2 linked regions of the Styela clava genome follow. The protein of the gene in region 1 purifies or fractionates together with the protein of each later gene. This does not show direct contact. Links are inferred from orthologs where the notes say so. Each region holds a gene or a part of one and is shown in the gene's direction. Other genes may lie near its edges.

Region 1 (11,729 bases):
TTGGACCATTGCATTCTATCTCAAATCCACCTGTTGTAGATGCTTCATTGACAGCAACTGATCAGGCGAGAAAAAGGTCGCCGCCTCCTGTTCCCAATAGACCATCCCAGCGTACTATGACTCCAATGGGTTATCAGCCTTCATATGGAGGATATGGTTCCTATGGCTATGGTACTGGATATGGAGGGATGTATGGTGGTGGAATGGGGAGCGGAATGTATGGGGGTTATGGTGGTGGGGGTATGTACGGTTCCTACAATAGATCATATGGTGCACCGGGAGGATTTGCTAGACAAGCAGAAGAAAGCACTAGAAATGCATTTCAATCTGTTGAAAGTATTGTGAGAGCATTCACATCCGTTTCTGCTATGTTAGAATCTACACTCGGGGCTGTTTACAGCTCATTCCGAGCTGTGCTTGATGTAGCAGATCAATTTTCGAGGGTGAGGGCAACATTTGCTGATATTCTTTCTTCTATCGCAGTCTTCCGTTTGATACGATTTTTATATCGCCGAGCTTTGGCATTTCTAAACTTGGGAGGATCATGTGAAGAGGCATGGGATACGGTCAAAACAGACTCTGATGTTATACCACAGAAGAAGAAATCAAGATCGTGGCCCATACTTCTTTTCATGTCTGTTGTTATAGGAGGCCCTTACTTGATTTGGAAATTATTGAGTGGAACAGGCAATGTACAAAAGCCTCAGACACCATGGGCAAGCGGATTATCAGATCATGTTGTTGCTAGAGTAGAATATGATTTTGAAGCTGATAATGATGATGAACTAACTGTGAAAGTTGGCGACCTGTTAAACCTTGCACCAAAAGACCAACAACCACATATACAGAATTGGCTTATGGCATCTTTAGATGGTACAAATGTAGGGATGGTTCCTGCAACTTATGTTAAGGTATTAGGCCGTCGAAAGGGAAGACAACCAGAATCAGCTGAGAATGGCCAACCTGAAGCTTCGGCACCACCTACATGACAAACTACTCGTAAACTCTCAATCTTTGTAATATGCAAATCACCCGTTTCAATAAAAATGCAATTTAAAGTAAATTTTTTTTCATTGTATAATTTCATGTTAAAGTGTCTTCATTACGAAGATATTCTCCAATATCCGCTTGATGAAAAGCAATGATTGACATAGGATCCGCATGCCTGCATTCGGCTGTCGATTTTGCTGCTACACCAAATCCCTATAAAAGAAAGGCGATTACATGAAAAATCTTTAAACAATTAGTTCATGAGATATCCCAACAAAAATTGTCAATTTAGATGTTTTTTGAATAGCCTGCAATATAAAATACATAATGGATACAAATTCAGGAAAGCAAGAGACAAGTCTTTTTATTACACGTTATACCTTTACTACTTACCAAAGGTATATCATTCATTGAATATAACACTATGCCTTGATATTTAGGAGTTCCTTCAGTAATTCTTCCTAATCCTGATTTTAATATGTGATTTCCATATAAAAATGATTGTTCTGCACCTGGTTTCACCCAAACTTTGAACTGAAAAAGTAATTGACATTATTTGATATTCTCAAACAATGATGGTTATTATTGCATTTGCACTTGTGTCAATTCTAATTATGCGGCATGTATGTATTGGTGTATGGACTATTAATCAACTACAATATTATTTTACATTTCTTTTTATGTTCAACTTCAATTATTTTGCAATGTATGACTGTTGTGTAAATATTCTTCAAATAATAAGAACAGGCTTCATTATTCACAATACAGATGAAGTAATAAGCATTGTAGGAAATCAAGAGATGTATTGTGGCGTGGGTACTACACTCCTTGGAACAATGGGCCACAAAAATGTCAGGGCAATTGAGCTGAATCTAAATTCACACAATGGGAACAGAGTATCACAAGTGTTATGGATGTTTCTCCGGCCCTTGACCCCAGAAAAATTCTATATAACTTAGTAATTATCGCAAAATTTTGGATGCTTATTTTGTGAGTGTTTTGGAGAGTTGACACTTAGAAACTGATTTACATGATCAAACCCATTATTTTTATTAAAATATACAACCGCTTGCTCGGTTTAGCCTAGTCAATTGCAGCTTTTCCTGGACTAATTTTTGATTATTGCACAATCAAATCAAAAATTCCAATTGATACGTCATTGATGACTTTTGCTCCATGATACCTGCTTTTATCTCATAATCTTACCTTTGCATAAGGCGCTAAATAATCAAGTGCAGTGACATGGAGCCTAAATTTCTTTGTTTTTGTAAATTTTCCAAAGCACACGCCAAAGCTGATTAAATTTTCTCTGCAAACGTTAGTCGCTCTTTTCATAATTTCTTCAGATACATAATATACTCGATCTCTGTGAAGTCTGAAGCAGTATACTCCATCTGGACGATCAATCAATAATTTGATGTTCTCCCCAATACTGAAACAATTAAAAATTTAAATGTCACATTTTTCGGAAGAATTGGGGTCTAACGATGTATTTGTCATAAGGGCTTGAATGTCGCCAAAAGAAAATGTGATGTAAAAAATAAAAATAGCCTAAATTTTTTTAAAAGTCTGTCTCCCACAGAACGCTATACCCTATTTGGCATGAGATAAACCTGCTTAGTTGAAAAATTTTGTTCAACTAAACGCATCTGTCAAGAACTTCATTTCACCCCAAACAGACAATTTTTTTTTTAAACAAACACACACATTACTTTTTTGTTTGGCGTTATTTTGAAGAGTTTCGGCATTTACTTAGCTAGACCCTAGAATTGGAATTGAGATCTTCAATAGCCAGCTAAAATGCAATGTCTTTTATTGAGTGAAAATTCGAGCCACTCTCTGATTATGTCTTTGCTTGAAAGTATATTTAGAAGGTTACGAGTCGCAAATGCCATTGCATCGGTCGTCAAAATTATCTCATCAGAGTCATTACCCGCAAGTTATTTGGAAAGTGGTATTCAAGTTTTATGTGAAATTATTTAAAAAAAATTGTAGTAGAAGCAGTAGAAATAAAGTATCATAAAAGTTTCAGAGCAATAAAATTCTGTTGGCCATGATAAAAAAGAATGCAAACATGTAAGATGTCACAGTTATCATGATAGCTTAAGTAAATGTATAATGGTATTTAAGAGAGTTACAGCAAGAACTGAGAGTACCGGTGTTTGCCATTCTTTCTTCTGTATTCATATAACTTTTGGAATAAGGTTGATATTGTTGCTTTGAGTAAACTTGCATAAAATGGGCTTCAAACATACAGGGTGACCCTACCAACACCTCGCCCCCACCCAGAAAAAAAAACAGAACCCGTATATTTTCTTTTTCGAACTTTTTTTCATTGTTTACGCTTGAAGTTCTGTTTGTGCATGTATTGTACCTAACAGAATGACATATCGCAATGACTGAGTAAGAAAAAATCATGTTGCTCTTTTGAAAAACGGTAACCCTGAAATTACGGGCCCAGTGAATTAAACGCTGTGACTGCTTATAGTGCCAAACAAAATTGTGACGAGAAAAAAACATCCAAACTTTTATTTTTTCTAGTAGAAATATGTCTCACAGGGAACACTATATCCTTTTTGCCATAGGAAATACCTGCTTAGTTGAAATTGGGTAGGTTTGATTTTAACTAAATGCGTCTATGGCGAAAATTTCATTCTGCGCCTGACAGACTTTTATTTAATTATTAATAAAAAAACATAAAAATTTAGGATAGAATAATTTTTACATATTTATCCCATGGGAGAGGAATAAGACAGCTTAGCCATATGGCAAACCACGGCCTCTTGTCCGGTTACCATTCCATGTCGGGTATGGGATTAGTTAGTTATTTGTTTTCGGAAGCATGTACTTGATGGTGGAGGAAGCCGTGAACCACGCTACGGAGGCGAGAAGTCCAGCAATCCTCTCGCACATAACTATCCCTGCATGGGATTCGAACCCACGCAGAGTTATCCAGTAATCAGAGGTGCGGTGGCGAGGATATTAGGATAGGATTTACATATTTATCCCGGAGGGAAGGAAAGCCAATATTAAAGCTTTTAAATCATATGGCGAACCACGGCCTCTCGTCTGGTTACCAGTCCAGGTCGGGTATGGGATTAGTTAGCCAGCTATTTGTTTTCGGAAGCATGGACTGGATGGTGGAGGATTGCCACCGCATCTCCGATTACCTCGCGTGGGTTCGCAGGCTTCCTCCACCATCAAGTCCATGCTTCCGAAAACAAATAACTGGCTAGCTAACTAATCGCATACCCGACCTGGACTGGTAACCGGACGAGAGGCCGTGGAGAGAGCGTATTCCTAACGCTTAGCAAGATGAGCCACACCACCCAATCGTCAAAATCGACTGTTCTACTGACTCAATACAGTAGTAATATAGGCCTACCACAGAAACAGAAAAATATTTCATGTTCCCGTTTTATTGTTTTAGTGAACTACCGGTACCGGTACCGGTATAGCCTAGTCTAATAGTCCACTCATGCTACACAAAACCTTCCGACCCTAACAATTCAGCAATACCAAGAATTAGAACATCATATATATAAATATCTTTATATGTACTTACTATTTTGCAAGTTTTTCAAACAACGTTTTTGTCTCATCTTCTGTTAAAGGACGCATAGTCAGTTTATTATTTGTCAGAGACGTTGAAACCGGGGCAAGACGTGAAGCTGTGCACGAAAATCAGAAAATATCACTGCCGCTACTCGCGAAACGTGTTTGTAGTAAATAGCTGGCTTCATTAGAATCTACTAAAATACTAAATCACGTATCACGTGGTCCGCTTTTTATAATATTTTGGTAAAGAGCTGATTTATGCGGGTTGCTTTTTTGCTTATTGTCGGGATGCCTTCGGTCCGTAATTTATTATCCCAGACGGTCAGCTAAAGTTTTTGTCTTGAAACGAAATCGGCTGTTTGTCTGCTTGTGGAGAATTATTTTCTGGAGCCATATATAATTGTTCAATTTGGTTTAGTTCAGTTTAATGAGAAATAATTTTGAATATGACGGCGATAAAACACGCCTTGCAAAGGGATTTATTCACCCCAAATGATGAAAGATTGTTGGGCGTTGTTCACGTTGCTAAAACGGGAAAGAAAAAGAAGTCATCTTTTTTATGTGCTTCAGGTTAGTAATCTATGCTATATGTATAAGGTATAGTATCCAAATGATATAAGGTGTTTTCGTGAAAGTTTTTTGTGTGTTTAGATCCTGAATACCACTTTTTGCTATAGAGTTTTGTCCTTTTGTCATTTTATTTACAAATACTGAAATTGCTAAATTACTGAAATTATGAATACCCGCTGCACTCTAATTCACAAGGCAAGCCTCTCCTTTTATGGTCACAAGTTTATTTTGATTCTTAAAAGTCTGAAAAAGCTAACGAAGACTAGTTTTCCAGCTTTTTGATTGTACATTTTAGTTAAACCACTGGCACGGCCGCAAGGAATACACTCACCACCGGTACCTCTGATTACTCTGCATGGATTCGCAGGCTCAAATCCCATGCGGGGATAGTTATGTGCGAGAGGATTGCTGGACTCCTCGCCACCGTACGGTGGTTCATGTAACCCCTGGTCGGTTACGGCTGCCTCCACCATCAAGTCCATGCTTCCGAAAACAAATAACCAACTATTCCCATGCCTGACATGAAATGGCAACCAGACGAGAGGCCGTGGTTCGCCATATGGTTAAGCCTTCTTATCGCCTTTCCTCCCCTGGGATAAATATGTAAATCCCATCCTATTTTTCTATCAATCCAACTGAAGTTAATCATGCAATATTGAGCAATGTAATCATTGTAAACAGAGTATTGCTGATACGAACTAGTCAAAAAACATTACAGCATTAATTGAGAGTGAAACAAACATGACAAGTTTGATCGGGCTTCAAGCTTGGGGACCATTGTGATATTACATGTATATAATTTACGTAAAAAGTTAATATAAGTCAAGCTAATGTTTTTTACTTCCATGCATTCTTTAGCTAATATTCAGAGTGGAATAATGACAGAATGGGTTGTCAAGGACACACTTGACAATGCCACGACAGTCAAACTGCAGGTTCAGAGGTTGGAATACTGTGTTGCACAATCATAATATGTACTAATTGAGTATGATTCCTTTCACTATTCAAGACCATGTGTCTGAACCTTTCGATTAGTAATTTGATTTGTCAGTTGGTTCATCGTGCTTGAATCATGATTGCCATGCCACTGCTCATCACTCAGAGCCTTCATGGGGATAATTATGCAAGAGCAGATTTCTGACTGGTCTGTTGTTACTTTCTCCGCCATCCAAAAATAATTCCAGGTAGAGTAGGATTGGCCATATTGCTCATTGTTCTGTAAGAAACGATTGCTTACAAGTTATGCATGTGCCTTTAGAAGCAGTATATATAAAATTCTTATGGCCTGACGGTGTGGCACTTCATGCTGAGCCGAGGCATTGAGAAAACGCTTGCTACTGCACATCCGATTACCCTGCTTGGATTCGCAGTTTCGAATTCCGTGTGGGATTATCATGTGCGACGGGATTGTGGACTCTGCGCCACCTGGTTCACAGCTTCCTCGACCATGCATATAACTGTCCAACTAATCCCACACTCGAGGCCCTGATTCGGCATAGGATTAAGCTGTCCTATTGGCTTTCTCCTCCCCCAGGATAAATATGTAAATCTTATATATTGCTTGTAAATGAGGATCAAATAAATGAACCCTCTATGAGAGGTGATTGAAGAAATAACTAATTTTATTACATTTTACAATATTCAGGAAAATTTTAGTATTTCAGAATACTTGATTGCCAGAATTGTACTCAGATATGGGATTTCTAATAATTGTGTGTCCTGTTTCCACAAATTATTTATCAGTTTGAAATGTAATGTGTGACGCCCAACCTCTGATACTGCTTATTCCCTATGCTAAATGTGATTCTAATCGTTATATGTTTTTGTGGCTTTCAACACTATTAATGCTTAAAACAAATTGTTCATATACTTAGTATTGTCTGCACACAGATTCATGTCCTAACACTGGCTGCTGTACGGTGATTGTTTTTTAGTAAGTAGAGATGTTTACTTTCTGATTGTGCCTACAGATAGTTGTTATTATAAGTTTAATTTGTAAAAGTTGGCGACATTGGACGATAAATATTTCTTTGTTAAGCATTATTCGAACACTGCCCCATTGTGACAGACAGGAATAACGAGTGTGTCGCAATTTATAGTATGATGTGGTGATTATTTGTACACGGCCCGCACGCTTCTGGGGATATGTATATTTGGCCCACTAGTACATCAAGTTTACCTACCACTGGTCTAACTTCTTCAGGCTAATTGAAATGTAACCTGAACCTAAAAGCGGAATGACCAAACCAAATGAACTATGATTTTCTGTGATATTCAGCATAACATGACTCTTTTACCGAAAATTGTTAGGAACCACCGGTCCATCACTACCAAATGCCTTCAAGTGTTGATATTTTAATACCTGTATAATTTCAATAAAGAATAATTAAAAGCATGATTACACAACACACTTGCACGAATTTGAAACGAAATGTAAAAGGAAAAATAAATAATTGATAAAAAGATAGGGGCAAGACTTAAAATTGACTTACGGTAGGCAAGTATGTATAAAATGGTCACACAAATTCAGGGAAACTTCTGTTGACTCAATAAAAAATTGACATAGCATAGTAAAATTTTGTAAAAGCTAAAATGAACGCTCTTAGATCTACTGTACAACAGAATTTATGATTGTGTATAAAACAGGTTGATACTAATCATAACCCATCGTGTGCTTTAAAGTAAATCCTTGCCAGTTGCAGATAACTTCATTGTATAAGACTAAGAGGTTCGCTGGATTGCCTGGCATTGAAACATGGCAATTTCCTCACTCTTCATGCTTGTTACTCATCTTCAGTACATTGTCGTTTTGATGGAAGGCCTATAGATAATAATATAATACTTTATGGATGAGATAGCATACCATTCTGAATAATCTCTTAGTGATGTAGACTGAATAATACCAGACTAGCAATGCTGGGTATGTTATGCAGGATGTCTCACATCTACGACCTATGGTAATCAATACTATGTGTGAACTCATCTTTTTGTGCACATAAGCAACCTGAGTCTAGCAAAACATTTGATATATCCATCCATACCTACTCTATGCATTGATTTTAATAGGTTTGATAATTTCATGTCAAAGTTTTCAAGGCAGGCAGATACGAAATAATCTCTGACACACTCAAATATTATTATCCAAGTACATTGCGGTGCATAATTCGGGGGAACAAATTTCAACGATAGTTCAACCAGAGGCTTCAAAAGAAATTGAACAATCATGCACTGGTTGTAACAAACTTATAAAAAAAAAGAATATGTACCTTCTTCAATTTTAACTATATGGGCATCATGTGGAGGATAAATCTGTGTCTGACTTCTTTTTTTATAATCCATGTTATTGAATTTCTTTCTTATCGCCCGATGTAGTGTAGGGGAGTATCTTAATCCATTTTGACAAAGAACCGGGTACTCAGAGCATAGGTTAGTAACTGTACACTTTACTTCGTATTGGTCAGGATTTCGTCCGAGAACATTTTTGAGAATAGTTGAAATATCTCTCACTAATTCTTGGAATGCTTTTCTGTTCGTATTATTTAAGATGTCATATCCCTTTGACATATATTCCCGTAGCGATACGTTTAAAGGAAAAGGCCAAGTTATACCATTAGGGTAAGGCAAAGGAGATGCATTTTTAGAAGCAAGATAGCTTTTCTTCTGGTTTTGGAAGGTCATTGTACTAGAGGTTTCAGGACCATCCGATACCTCATCATCAGGATTGGAATTATCATGCAGGTCAATGGGACTTTGTGATGTCACATGGAGAGAATTCCAGTCTTTTAAAGCTGAGTAAAGCATTGTCCAACCATCCTCTCCTTCACTGCGAAGGCCTGGGTATTCAACACATAACATGGCTGCTGTATATCGTAAATCACCTTCTGATATATTTGGTCCAAGACTGTTTTTCAAAGTGTTATGAACTTCAGCCACAAGGCTGTTAAACACAGAATCATTTCGCTTAATACTGTTAATGCCCACTAAAGACTCTTTGAGAATTTGGCTTAGTGGGAAAGGTGATGTTATATTTCCAGGATAGGGAATGAAAAATGTATTAGGACTTTTAGGGGACTTAGGTACGATCTTATTATGTATTGGTGAGGAAGGCCCAAATATAGATGAATTCGAGGATTCGGCTTCATCATCGGAAGATATTGGAACAAGACCCTCGGGGGTTTGTGCATTTTTACGAAAGTAATTTGAAAACATATTCGGAGATGAAACTGAAGTAACTTTCTTAATGATGCACGGATCTCTTTCTTCTTGTATATTTTCATTAAGAATAGTCTTCGTTGTTCTTGCTTCCTACAAAAAAAAAATTTATTTTTTTGAGTGAGTGTATTGTCACCTTTCATGATGCATATCTATATTGAAAAATATCATAATATAAAATTTATTTATGTTTCACAGCAGAATTCAATTTCCTCAATAAACTAAAATTGTTAAATCCAAGTAGAACAAGAAGATTAAGATAAATAAGCATTCTAGAAGCCCTGATGCCATACCTGTAATTTAGGAGGACTTCTCTTGAATGCTTTAAAAAATAACCACAATTCTTTTCTGATTCCAAAGCGAAATCCTCTGAATTCCTCATTCACATCTTCTCTAGTTAGTTGATCGATGTCATCCATTTGGAATTCAGCATCTTAGAAAAAAAGGTAGTTTGAAGTAGGAACTTAGGGAAATACCGTATTTTCAGGCTTATTGGGTGAAAATTACGGTAATTTTAGTATGACAAAAAATCAATATTTTGATATTGAAAGTACCTGTATATCATTATTGCGTTTATAAAAAACTTTTTCTGTTTTATAATATCAATCCAACCACCAAAGTAGGTAGCACATAATAACCATCATTTGGAAAATGTGAACCTACCTTCTATTGCCTTCACAATATCAGAGGTAAATTGTGTTGATGCTTTAGCTATCATCTCTGACAGGTTTGCAGACATTTTAACGAGTTTTGATTAAGAGTTTGAAAGCTGTTAAAGTAAAAGCGTTGTGTCATTTGATGAAATTGTTGATTTAAAAAAATGTTATCATTGTTAATTTTCAAAATACTCAATTTAACCCCAACTGTATTTAATGACATAGACTACTCAAAATATGGTCATGGGCTTTTAATATCCACATGTTTTTTAATAGAACTAGTAAGCTCTTAAATATCTTCCCAAAAACCATCCTAACCTGACAAGCTGAGCAGTAACAAGTGAATAATGAGATTTTCATATTTATTCCTGTGAGAGGAAAGTTGATTAATCATAGGCGGATATTATGAACCGGCCTTTCGCCCGATTACGAGTTCCATTTGGGGTATGGACTCTTTCAGTCCCATACCAATCAGCCGATGCTGCATGACACATACATATATCAGTAACTTCCTAAGTTGTTAGCAAAGACAGAAATTCGGTCTTTTAGAAGTGCTTCAACGTACTTATCAGTATATTTGACAACCATCGCACCACTGGTACCCTTAATACTCCACCGTAGTCATTTATTCGACAGTTAGGACGCAATATTCCGCTTCCATTTAGTAAACACAACCCCCATATACTGTTAAAGCATAGGACGTCTGTGTTTACAACGGGGTCGAACTAATTAATCACGTGCTTGTTCCGCCCGAAGTGCTTCTGTTTCACGACGCTCCGCTAACGCGATATTTCGCAGAATTACGCTACAAATTGCAACTTGCTTGTTTTTTTATATTGCAATATTCAAATGCAATTTTACAACCTAGTTTTGATTAAACTACAGTACCGGTTAGTATATTACGTTCTAAGCTGAGAGATATGTTGAAAATGACCCCCGATTGGATGAAATATTTCATACAATGGCGACTAAATAGTTTAAAACTATGTGCTTGATTGTCACTGCTAGGCATTGGCTTTCACAGCATGATATACTGAGGTGACAAATTATGCTATTCTTTTAATTAAAATGGGTAAAGATCAAACGAAATACGGCGCCTTTTCCCGCGATTAGCAGGCAATCAAGGCTCGCAGTTTATCTGCCGAACAGCATTGTGGGAACCTTTTTTCTCTCTGTCTAGCGTGCGTCGCGCTAGCGCTATCGCCATTTTCAGCGTGTATTTTTGTGTGGCTTAGTTGCGCGCGCGTTTGTGATTGTGATTTTGTAGTTTTACTTTTGTCAGTGTCATTTTGTTCATGTCTTGAATTTATTGTATATTAAGGTCGATTTATTTAGCGATATGACTGACGGTGTTGATATAGATCTTTATGCAGACGTTGACCACGAATTTGCTCAGGACGACGGACTGTATACCCAGGGCAACGTGGATTTGTATGATGATATGTTGCAACCGTCGAGCAGAGCGACCATCCATTCTAACGGCATGCACAGCGTTCAACATGGAAGCGATAAGACCCAGGGGGATATGAAGTTTAATTACCAGGGCAAAAAGGTGTCCATTTATGTTGGAAATTTAACTTGGTGGACTACTGACAAAGATCTGCAAGATGAAATCAGTGCTTTGGGTGTCAATGATTTAATTGAAATAAAATTTCATGAAAACAGGGCAAATGGCCAGTCAAAGGGTTTTGCAATTGTGCATCTTGCTTCTGAGTCTTCATCTAGAATAGTTATGGATAAGTT
Region 2 (10,996 bases), on another chromosome or scaffold:
ATTTGCATTGTATCAAATTTATTTTTCAGCATCATGAAGCTGCAGATTCTGCTGCATTGTCGTTAAATAAAGTACGAATACAAGTTGTTGGACAAGGAATAAAATCGATGAAACCTGTAATGCAAAGTCAAAATATGAACAAAACAAAAGAAGGGTTGGTTATTAAATAATTATAGCAAATTTGCACAGTTTAGAGACATTGATATATGAACTGTTCAGCATATTTAAAACATCCATTTGGTTGATGTCCCAAGTTAGCACTCTTCAGTGGCATCGTAGGGTAAAATCTCCCCCCCCCCCCATACACACAAAAACTAGCCACCTTTCATTTGTTATTCCATCTATTGAGGTTGCCATGGTTACCCCGCCAGTCATGCCTGGAATCGTTCTCTCCCCTTACCACAAGCGATACTGGAACCACCAGTTCACCTTGAACATACTTATGAAAGGGTGGCTACTGTTAGTGAATATTGTTCGGCTTTTTTTATCTTTATACGATTCAAAGTTAGGCTCTTTCATAGGTGACAATGCTCGATAACCAATACTGGTTTATTGCTTCTCCATTCATCCCGAAATACATTATTTTTATTTTACTTCACTGTTGATGCACGCTTGTATTTTTGGTATGTGAATAAATAAACTAGTGACTGACTGACATCACCCATGGTGTATTAAATTGGCTGGGCCTTTTCGAACCAGAAAGATTCCATGTCCTTCCGGTTATTAAGTAGCTCGACATATATAATATATATCGATATCAGTGACGACCTTGTTCGAAGCAAAAGATGTGAATTAGCTTCATATAAAAATAAGTTTGCTTTATTTTCGCGGTTTTTTATGTGTGAATTTTTGCACTGACTTCTTCTTTTTATATGTGTGCAAATCTTGTTCCTAATTATGTCAATGCTTACATAGGAAAATTTATCAGATATTGTCTTTCACTATCATTGCAAAACAAATGTATTGTTGATGCTATTTCGTATATTTTACAGAAACGGAATTTATGTCTCTGAAGATCAAGTGAAATTTTCAGATGTTCCTGTAAATGAATCATCTGTGTTGAAGATTCCGGTGAAAAATAGGAGCAAGGAGTCTCACAATGTATGATTGTAATTTTTTTTTCTTCCAAGTTCGGCATAAACACCGTAAATATGTTGACCCGGTTTAAATGCTGTCGAAAATCTTTGCATTCAATTTTTGATGTTTTTCTAATTTCATTTCATTTTTTCATTTGAAAGGTCTTATAAAATGCATTGTTCATTGTTTCACTATTCTGTGTATTGTATTCCCCAGTTTTGCTTACTAGTTTTCCTATTTTTTCTTTTCTGTGTCTTATTTATATACGTGTGATTTGGTTCAATATGAATAGATTTATTTAACAATATTTTTTTTATTTAAAATTCTTAAACATTATTTAATTGTTCAGGTTAAATTCATCAATGTTCGACCTCCATTTCACATCACACATCAGCGACATACTATCAGGTAAAAGTTACTTTTTAAGTTTGAAAGTAATTCAAAGGCGGGGTTTGAAATCTACATTTAGCGTTTCCGAAATTGAGCATACTTTAAATTGATTAGTTATGTATCATCGTAATCCGAAAAGAGTATACGTACGGACGGCAGTTTAAAAATTAAAAGAAAGTACATTGTGTGCATATATGACCATTTTAGCTACAGTGACTATGGTGTACTTCCCAAGGGCAACTGAGCATAATATATTGCCAATGATCGCATAATATTGCGTTTTTTCACTCGACATGCTTCTGAGAAAAGGGAACTTGCTGAAATATAGATAATCAAAATAAATTGTTCACCGCCTAAATAACCATGTTACGCTGATAAAAAGTGGGTGATTTCAACAAAATTATCCTTGTAAAAATTGCACTTCTTATTAGCGACTTTTTTGGTCTTCTAAAATTTTCAGGCCACTGACTAGGTATTGACAGCTTGATTCTAGATTGTGGGTACTGTAATACTGTAAAACAAAAATCCCAATGCCTCATAATTATAAGATGACAACTAACAATGTCTTTGTATTCTGGTTGGGGCAGATAGGTCTGTGCAGTGAAACACATTTAACTTAAGTACATTAACTTTACTTCAAATATGAATTTAAGGCCGATGTCATATGCTTGTCTGCCAGTCACCTTCAAACCAACTGCAAAGGGAGAGTTTGAGGGAACTCTTGTCATTCAAACTGAAACAAATTTCAATCTTTCTGTGAAGTTGCTAGGACGTGGAATCTAATCTTTGCTTGATCACTAATTACAAAACATGATTCATGCTAAATTTTTACTTGGTATAAAACCAAAGAAGAATTGGAACTGTGTGGAGGTGGATTTCTGAAGACTTTGTCGTTTGAAAATGGTATCAAATGTTTCTATATTGTGTATGTAATATTTTAAACCACTATGATGATTGCAAAAGAAACAAGTACCGTTATAAGTACTGCCTAATAGGTTAACATTGAGACATTCTTCGTCTCTTTAAAGTATGTAACAAAAAATTTGATTCCAGGACTCTTGCTTAGACTATGAGTTTCGCATCTTTGAATTTATTATGAAATATCATATAGACATAGCTCTAAGCTGTACTATAAAGCACTGAGCTCTGTCATTAATGGTACTTTCTTTATAACACAGTGATATTCATATATTGTATTATTCTGTTTTTTTTCCCACTGTGCTAGTGATGATAGTAATGTAGTAGTCTTTACCTTTTTTTGAGAAATCAAAATTTATTCCAGTTTATTGTAATTCCATCAACTTATTTTTTTTTTCTGCTTCTCAGATACACGTTCTGTATGTTAATAAATAGATCTTGTAAAGCATAGTCTGTGGTAACTATAGATACTGGTAATTGGTTGAATACCATCAATCATTTTAGCTTTTCGGTATCAGATATTGTAGTTGCTCAGAGATATGTTTCAGTGAAAGAGCCACTAACTTCCTAATGTTTGAAGCTTAAAGATGTATGGCATGATGTGCGATGAAAACATTTTGCAGTTGGCAAAACAAATAACTCATGTTGAGTTTGAGTATTCATCTATTAAATCGTTGCTGGACATTGGGACCTGAAAAAACATCGCGGGAGATCTTAAAAATTTGCGAGTCACTGACTAACCTTAACTGAACTAAGGTAGAAATAGAATTTACGAGGCAATAGACTAACCTTAACTAAACTAAGTTTTGTTCATAAAAAGATAAAATTAAATAATATAAAAGTGTTATTCCACTTCCTTTGATCAATGTATGCCGCTGTCAGAGGTGTATTTTCAACACCGGAGCAATCAACCAACTGATATTGAACAGTCTATCTTCGCCAGCGATTGCATAGTGCCTTTGAAGTGATTAGTAGCTTTGCAATATGTTCGGTTGGCTGTGTTACATAAACGAACATCATCCCTAAAATTTTGATTTGATGATACTAAAGCCTAAAGTTTATCCCTTTCACAGCTGCCAATTGAATATACAGACTTTATATGATTGCCTTGTTATATGGTGTAATAGTAATTTCGCCTTAAATTCACCAAAGAAGTTTGGTGGCAATCCCTTAACAACGTTGTTCAAAAGTTTCTGTTAACATCAGCAATGCATTGTTTCCTCTAAATTTTGAAAATATTATTTCAAGCTGATTTGAAGGAAAAATGCTATGTCAGAAAGGCACCAACCAAGGCTACTGTTCATTGTGAGCACTTGCCAACAAACTCTTGCCAAGTTGAATTCATAGAAATACAAGTATCATCAACATGCATACCAACTTTATTAGATAACTGTGCATTATTAAATATATATGTGCTACGATTAATACAAAATGGCATTACATTGGAAGCAGTGCTTCAGATATCAACTACATAATCTCATTGAAAATATGGCAAGTGCATAATACTAAGAAAACTTGTGTATAGGCTGTGAAACTTGAGGACATAATTTGTATGAGTTGCAGACAACTAAATTATAATAGCTAACGAGTATTAGTTTCATTGATACAGTTGAAAAGTGTGACATATGAATTAGGTTAGTGAAGTGAGAAGACACCCTATACATAATTCTGCCGGAATTTGAAAGAAGATATTGTGTAAATTGCACTAAAAGTGTTGTACCGTGCAGGCTAAGTCAAAAAAAAATATTCAACTAAAAATTTATCACACTAATTAAAATAATAAAAAATATTTATATAATTCCTTCTTGTGGCCAGTTGAGCTGTTTAACAAGCCCACCCTTGCCTTTGGCATACGGTCCATATATTTCAAGACTGCAGTCTCGTTTTGTCGATCGCCAGCCAATCATTCTTGTTGTAGTTCCTGGATATGGTGGTGATTTTCCAACTTTTATGTATTTTTCAATTGGTGTGATCGGAGGTAACCTCAGCTGTTCTGGAAGTTCTACTTTGGGTTTTGACGGTTTTTCTTCCTCTGTTTCACCATCTTCTGCCAGCTGCAATAGTTGAAGCATATTTTATTAAAACAACGATAGCTATTTTATCAAGGTTCAATCACAGTACAGTGGGTACAATGGACTGAGATTGCTCACCTATACAAACACAATTTGTTACAAAACTGTGTAAATCAGTTTTTGCAGTTAAAATCAGTATACCGGTTCATATCACATAATTGATCATTTCTAGAATCTTAAATGCACATTTGTTAATCAATACAATTAATAACAAAAAACAATACAATAATGTAAAAGATTGCAGATCATTTATGAAAATTACAATTCATACCTCTCTATAAGTTTGGGTCATGAAACCCCAATTCTGAGGCCATTTCCTCGATGCTGACCACTCCATATGAACATGACTTTTCCTGAAACAAAGCAACTCCAGTGAAAATTATGATAGTCTACTGACTAGATACAGAGATCATATGAATAACGTTAGACACTACTGGTGATAGGCAGGCTACTGTCTATAAAATGTGTTGCATACTGCAAATGACACATTGTCTGGTATACCGGTATGACTTTTCCGATATCCGACTCTCACTCACCAAATCTCATCGTTGGCTACGTAGTTGCAGCCGGCAACTTGCCTCCCTACCTTCCCCGCAGCAGCAGCAGCCATTTTTGGAAAAAGTCACTCAGAAGAAATTGTGACAAGACTTGCAAGCGATCAGCTGATACAGTTACTATGGTGACTATAATCGCCACCTAGTGAGCTCATGACGGAATAAAATCGGCCGACCTTTCACCCCAAAACGTTTAACTTCCCAGACTAAATTTTTACGTTTTGCATAGTCAGATACGGTAGTGATTTCCTTTGCGTATTTCAAAAGATTTTCGAGTGCATTGAATCGGTATATCAGTATATTGGTACGGTAAATCTTATTCATAAATTATATTTCAGTATTTGACGTTTTGAAGTCATCTGGAATAGATATGGAAAATTTATTCTATCTTAACGATTGTTAAATGAGTAGCTCATTTCAGTATTCACAAATAGCATTACCGGTACCGTATTATAAATTCCCTACCGTACTCAATTATTGAGTCATAATTCAGTACTGGTAATTGTTCTAACAGGACAGTAGGAGAGAGGGTTCAGGGTCCACGAAAATACAAAATATACAGGACAAAGGCTCAAAACAGGCAAACGATCACCCAAGTCTGCAAGTTGAGCAAGCTACAAAGTCAGAAAGTGGGTCTCATGTAGTTTCGTACCTAACATACTTCTAGTGGGCGTAGCATGACAATTTTTCCTCGTTTCAATCCTAACCCCCACCTGACTACACCATCCAAAAAGTACGTCATTACGACGTCACAGTGACGTAATAGAGCCCTTCAAACTATACGAACTGCCATCCAAGACGCGCAAACGAGCACACGAAATCGAACAGTTACTTCTCTCGTTTTCTCGTCGCAACGATTCCAATAGGAGCGAGATCGATAACATCAGTCAGTTCTTCATCGTCGATTCAATTTTTCGATGGCGTAGTCAGATGGGGGTTAGGATTGACATATCAAAAAATTGTTATGCTACGCCCACTAGAAGTACGTTAGGTACGAAACTACACGAGACCCCTACAAAGTATGTATACATCGTCATACTCATACCGGTACTCGCTCTTGTTTCTGTGTTTCCTCATCTTTGTATCATTTCTCGATTTTGAGGGCATGATTTCCTTTTAGACGACAGTTCTTATATTTTGGCATGCCTTATTTCGTCACTGTGATGTCGTAGTGACATAATTTTGGATGATTACGTATCCGTTTTGATATAAAATTGAGAACATAAATTTATTTTAAATGTTTCTTTATAGGACATTGATTTGTGCTTAATAACCATGCTCTATAGTTTACAAGCAGACAAGAGCGAAATACTTTATAATATAGTATCAGCAGCAAAATGTCAACATTTTTTGTAATATCGGCTTGATTTTTTAAGGGGGAGGTGCTATACGCAATCCTGGTTATGAAAAACAATTCCTAAGCACAATCTAGAAGTTTAGAACTCAAACACATGAATTTATTAGTTTAACTTACATTTCTCTTTTGCTCCTTCTAAAGTTCAAATTTCAAACAAGTAATCTTTATTTGACAATGTTTTAGCACTGTTATAAATAATTGTCATATTAGAATGGAAAGTGCTTCTCAACCTGTGCCTAAAAAGTCTACTGCTTTAGCAAAGACGATTGGACACAGAAACTTTGATCCAAAGCAATATGCAAAGAGCATCAGTGCCCAATCAGATGGAGATAAAGATCTACAGGAGCACAAACAGAGAGTACAGACATTGGGTGAAGAAACTGCTCATATTTTGAAGAAACAAGTCTATAAATACTATGAGCAATTCATTGAAACTGCAAAAGAAATTTCTTACGTTGAGGGTGAAATGTTTCAGCTCAATCATATATTAACAGAGCAAAAGAATCTTATGGATTCGATGGCAAATATTTTTCTTATAAAAGAACAGCCACAGTATGGTGCAAATGAAAAAAAAAGCAAAGAAAATATCAAAAAAGATGAGCAACGTAAAGTTATGAGATCTTTAGTAGAGAAAGTTCAAGGGTGTCCAGATATCACTGATGTTTCTACTAGATTTCTTATTCATGATGGTGATCTTTCAGAGCTTGATATGGATAATTTTTCTCCCATTCGTAAAGTTCATCTATTTCTTTTTAATGATGCGTTGATGGTGACAACCTGGGCTGGTTTAAGAAGAGGACAACCAGTCCCTGGTAAATATAAATTTGAATGTCTTTTTGATTTGGAAAATCTGGCCGTTATCAATGCTCGAGATGCTGGACCAGTCAAATGTGCTTTCAAGATTTTGATTTTTCCTGATTCCAATATGTTTCAATGTGAAAGTTCAAAGGAAAAAAGAGAATGGCTTGACATTTTAGAAGAAACAAAGAAAAAGTTTTTGGCAGACAGAGAACATAATTCCCCTGTGTCACCTACAACTCCTATGTCACCAAATTTAGATCCGTTTAATCCTTTTTCTGAATCGCCTGGTAAATCATCAGGGTCAAAAAAGATGGAAGGAAATGCATCACTGGATAATGATAAATTAAATGAGGTTTGGATTCAAGAAATGCCTGAAGATTTAGATGTTTACATTGCCCAGCGATATTTCAAAGAAGCTGTAGAATTAGTGTTAAAGACAAAAGCCTTTTTAGATGGCATTGGTGAAAGTGCAACAAAGAAAGAAGTCGATGCTAAGTTATCAGCAAGAACGTCTCAACTTGTGAGTGTGTTGACCAAAGAACTACAAACTGCTCCTGATCGAAGTCATCGTGGTGGTCCCAGAGCAGCACGGAATCCTGTTTTGCTTCTCATTAAGCTTGGGGAAAGTACCAAAGCCTGTCAGTTATTCCTACACAATCGCTCTAGTGCAGTTTCATATGCTCTTAAACAATTAAGAACGGAGGGATATCTTCAATTATACATTGCTAAAATGTGTAAAGTTTTTTTTAACAATCTAAAAGAAACACTCAAAGAATTTGAAACTGCTTTTAAAGATCATCCGGGTTGTTACTCTACTTTTGTCGTTTGGTCACAAACGGAGATTAAAGTATTTGTTGGAAAAATTTCGCAACAAGTTTTCACTAGAAAAGCTGATATTGCTGAAATAGGAGACTGCACAAAAACTGTGTTTTCTCAAAGCAAGGCTGTTCATATCATTGGATTAGATTTGGATTTTGCTGTTACTTCACTACTTGTACAAGACATTGAATCAACAATCATAGATCATAAGCAAAAATTGATTGATGCTATTAAGCTACGTAGCTCTGAAGAATTGTGGAAACCAACTAATGCTAAGACACCACAGGCTCTTTTGAAAATACAAGAAGAAATGACTGGATATGGAATTTTAAACATTGGTCAATATTGCTTTGATGATTGCTTCTGCTATCTCACACTTTCAACATTAGCTTTTACAAGAGCCATTGTTATTCATGTGGACAGTGTGATAAAAATGTACCTACCGGAAATTCAAAAACTTCTTCTTGATTCTGTTGAAGAAATCGAACGATGCTACACTGATTTTGTTGCTGGTTGTCTCCGCTGTGAACAGGAAAGACCTGAGAAAGCACGGCTCATCAAACGTAATGCCATGTTTGTTGCCGAGTCATTGTTGCCACTGATAGAAAACAAAATTCAAAAATGTGTTTTACAAATTCCTAAACAACTCACTGATCTGAGAAGAGATTTTATTAAACAAACTTCTAGTTAGTGGAGAACTTTTTTTTGCTTGAAAATTGTTCCAAATACTATGAAAGCTAGGTTGTATATTTTTTTACTTTGTATCATGCTCAAATTATTTCTATTATGCCTGATTCGCATTATAATATGATGGAAACTGTACAACTATGTTGGGTTGAATTGTTCTGTCAGTAATTATTCCCCCAGGTGCTGATGAATAGACAAGGAATATGATTGAACAATAATTTTTTTAAAATAGATACGGGGGAGATATGTTGTGTACCCCACTGACATTTTTTTCAATCACTGCCTGTTGTAATAAAGGATGATATTCGAATTAAAAATTGACTTTCATTCACTACGAAAGAGAAATTTGCTTCGAACAATAATATTTGTGAAAGTAGATTTGGGGGAGATATACCGGTAGATACTGTACTTCAACTACATTATTTTCAATCACTGCCTGTTTTGATAAAGAATAATATTGAAATGATAATATGATTTTCATTCGCTAAAAAATATATACGGATGTTGAGAAGCACTCATAAATAAGTGAGCTGTATATCACTTGATTTAATCAATGTGAAATGATAGAAATGCATTCAAAAAAATTATTTTTTTGCTATTATTCAGGATTTTGAGACATATTGTCTGTCGCAACAAACAGCCACATTAGATCAAATTCAATTTCAATATCTACCAAGTATAATCCTCTTCAACTCTCTATTATTCAGATTTGTGCTATTGTGAATCTTCATTTAATGCGCTATTGTTTTTAGTGACTTTATAACATGATTCTGCTACGTATTGCGGACTTCTGAGTAGTTTTTTTGTCAACCAATTTTAAATTAATTTAGAATTTGTTTCATTTTATATGGCTCCAGAATTTGTGCAATATGTTTTAATACACATTATAATAGATGTCGGTAATTTTTGATGGAACTGATTTACAATCGTTTAAATTGAAGATTTCTGCATAAAAACATTTCGATGGTTTGCCGTTGATAAAAAATATAGTTATTGAGAGTTGTTGATTATTGCACTTTCATTCCATCTCTATTCAATGTTTTGAATCTGGCCCATTTCATGTGATTTTGTATCAATTATATGTAAGATCTGCTTTTTATGATTTGAATTGTTAATTAAATTAAAGCAAATAAAACTGATAAATATTTACTATTTGAGCCTATACTCTATACTACTATATGGCACTGTTCATTTTTCAATATTATCTGTACTTATATTTAGAGTATCAGGATAAAATGTTTAGAATATTAGGCTTGGCCTTCATTTTGTGTTGGATTACTTTGTCTACATGCCACATGAAGAGAGACTACATTGAAAGCAAACCTTTCATCCACAATCCTCCACTCGTCGACAAACCTTTTGTATTTGTATGGGATGTTTCGAGCGATTTATGTGAAGAAAAATTTGGGGTAAAACTGAACTTAGACTATTTTGATATTATCCACAACAAGAACAAAGGACAATTGGGTGAAAATCTTGTTATATTTTATCAAAACAATTTGTCCAAATTTCCATATTTTGATCGGAAAACAGGACAAGCTGTCAATGGTGGTCTACCGCAAGCGGCAAATTTAAAATCAATTTTAACTGACTTTGAGATCACTGTGAATAAACTTATACCAGATAAGGACTTTCAGGGTTTAGCTATTCTGGACTGTGAATTATGGCGAGCATTATTCAGTAGAATGGGTGATTCATTGATGAAGATATATCAACAAAAATCAATAGAATCGATAAAACATAAACACCCTGATTGGAACGAAGCACAACAACTTCGGTGGGCGACATTGGAATATAACTTAGCGACAGAAAGAATTTTAAAACCAATACTAGTACTTGGAGAGATTTTGAGGCCTCATGCATTGTGGGGTTATTATTTGTATCCAGATTGTCGTTATTACAACATGACTAAAAAAGATATGATCTGCTCAAATTTGGAAATGAAGAAAAATACTGAAATACAATGGCTTTTTGATGAAAGCACCACATTGTATCCTTCTGTATATTTACCTGAATTTTACAAAGACAAAGACTTCGTTAAAAATTATGTTGCAAATAGAATTCAAGAAGCAATGAGAGTTGATGATGCAAGGTTTAGTAATGTTAGTGCTCCTGTATTTTCATATCATATGCTATCATATAAAAAGACAATTAAATTTTTGGACTCTCAAGATCTTCTAGATAGTATTGGCATTGCAGCGGTTCTTGGTGAATCGGGAGTTATATTTTGGGGTGGAAATAATATGGGTAATTCAATTGAGGCTTGTCAAAATCTTAGTAACTATATAGATAACTTTCTTGGTCCCTACTGTAAAAAGTTG

What was found. Proteins that work in one complex are often made in the same cells at the same time.
Region 2: the proteins of exocyst complex component 1-like (region 1) and exocyst complex component 8-like purify together in Homo sapiens (affinity purification with mass spectrometry; 3 studies listed by BioGRID and IntAct, counting the BioPlex papers as one, with this or other methods). This does not show direct contact. The link is inferred for Styela clava from reciprocal best matches to the Homo sapiens genes EXOC1 and EXOC8.

The regions. Positions count from the first base shown.
Region 1 is NC_135261.1:10,510,722-10,522,450, forward strand, and holds the start of exocyst complex component 1-like, read left to right. Parts: upstream 1-4,847; 5' UTR 4,848-4,994; coding exon 4,995-5,118; intron 5,119-7,453; exon of another isoform or gene 7,454-7,901; coding exon of another isoform or gene 7,902-7,939; intron 7,940-8,384; coding exon of another isoform or gene 8,385-9,423; intron 9,424-9,623; coding exon of another isoform or gene 9,624-9,763; intron 9,764-9,993; coding exon of another isoform or gene 9,994-10,069; exon of another isoform or gene 10,070-10,099; intron 10,100-10,551; exon of another isoform or gene 10,552-10,888; intron 10,889-11,271; exon of another isoform or gene 11,272-11,325; coding exon of another isoform or gene 11,326-11,729. Other genes in the region: peroxisomal membrane protein PEX13-like, read left to right, coding at 1-989; 60S ribosome subunit biogenesis protein NIP7 homolog, read right to left, coding at 1,084-1,203, 1,384-1,524, 2,197-2,422, 4,556-4,611; uncharacterized protein LOC120329417, read right to left, coding at 7,902-7,939, 8,385-9,423, 9,624-9,763, 9,994-10,069; cleavage and polyadenylation specificity factor subunit 6-like, read left to right, coding at 11,326-11,729.
Region 2 is NC_135260.1:14,958,856-14,969,851, reverse strand, and holds exocyst complex component 8-like, read left to right. Parts: upstream 1-6,531; 5' UTR 6,532-6,579; coding exon 6,580-8,679; 3' UTR 8,680-9,897; downstream 9,898-10,996. Other genes in the region: uncharacterized protein LOC120347828, read left to right, coding at 30-154, 993-1,101, 1,427-1,485, 2,121-2,250; ciliary microtubule inner protein 1-like, read right to left, coding at 4,176-4,439, 4,729-4,810, 4,994-5,067; hyaluronidase-like, read left to right, coding at 9,971-10,996. UniProt on the Homo sapiens protein: Component of the exocyst complex involved in the docking of exocytic vesicles with fusion sites on the plasma membrane.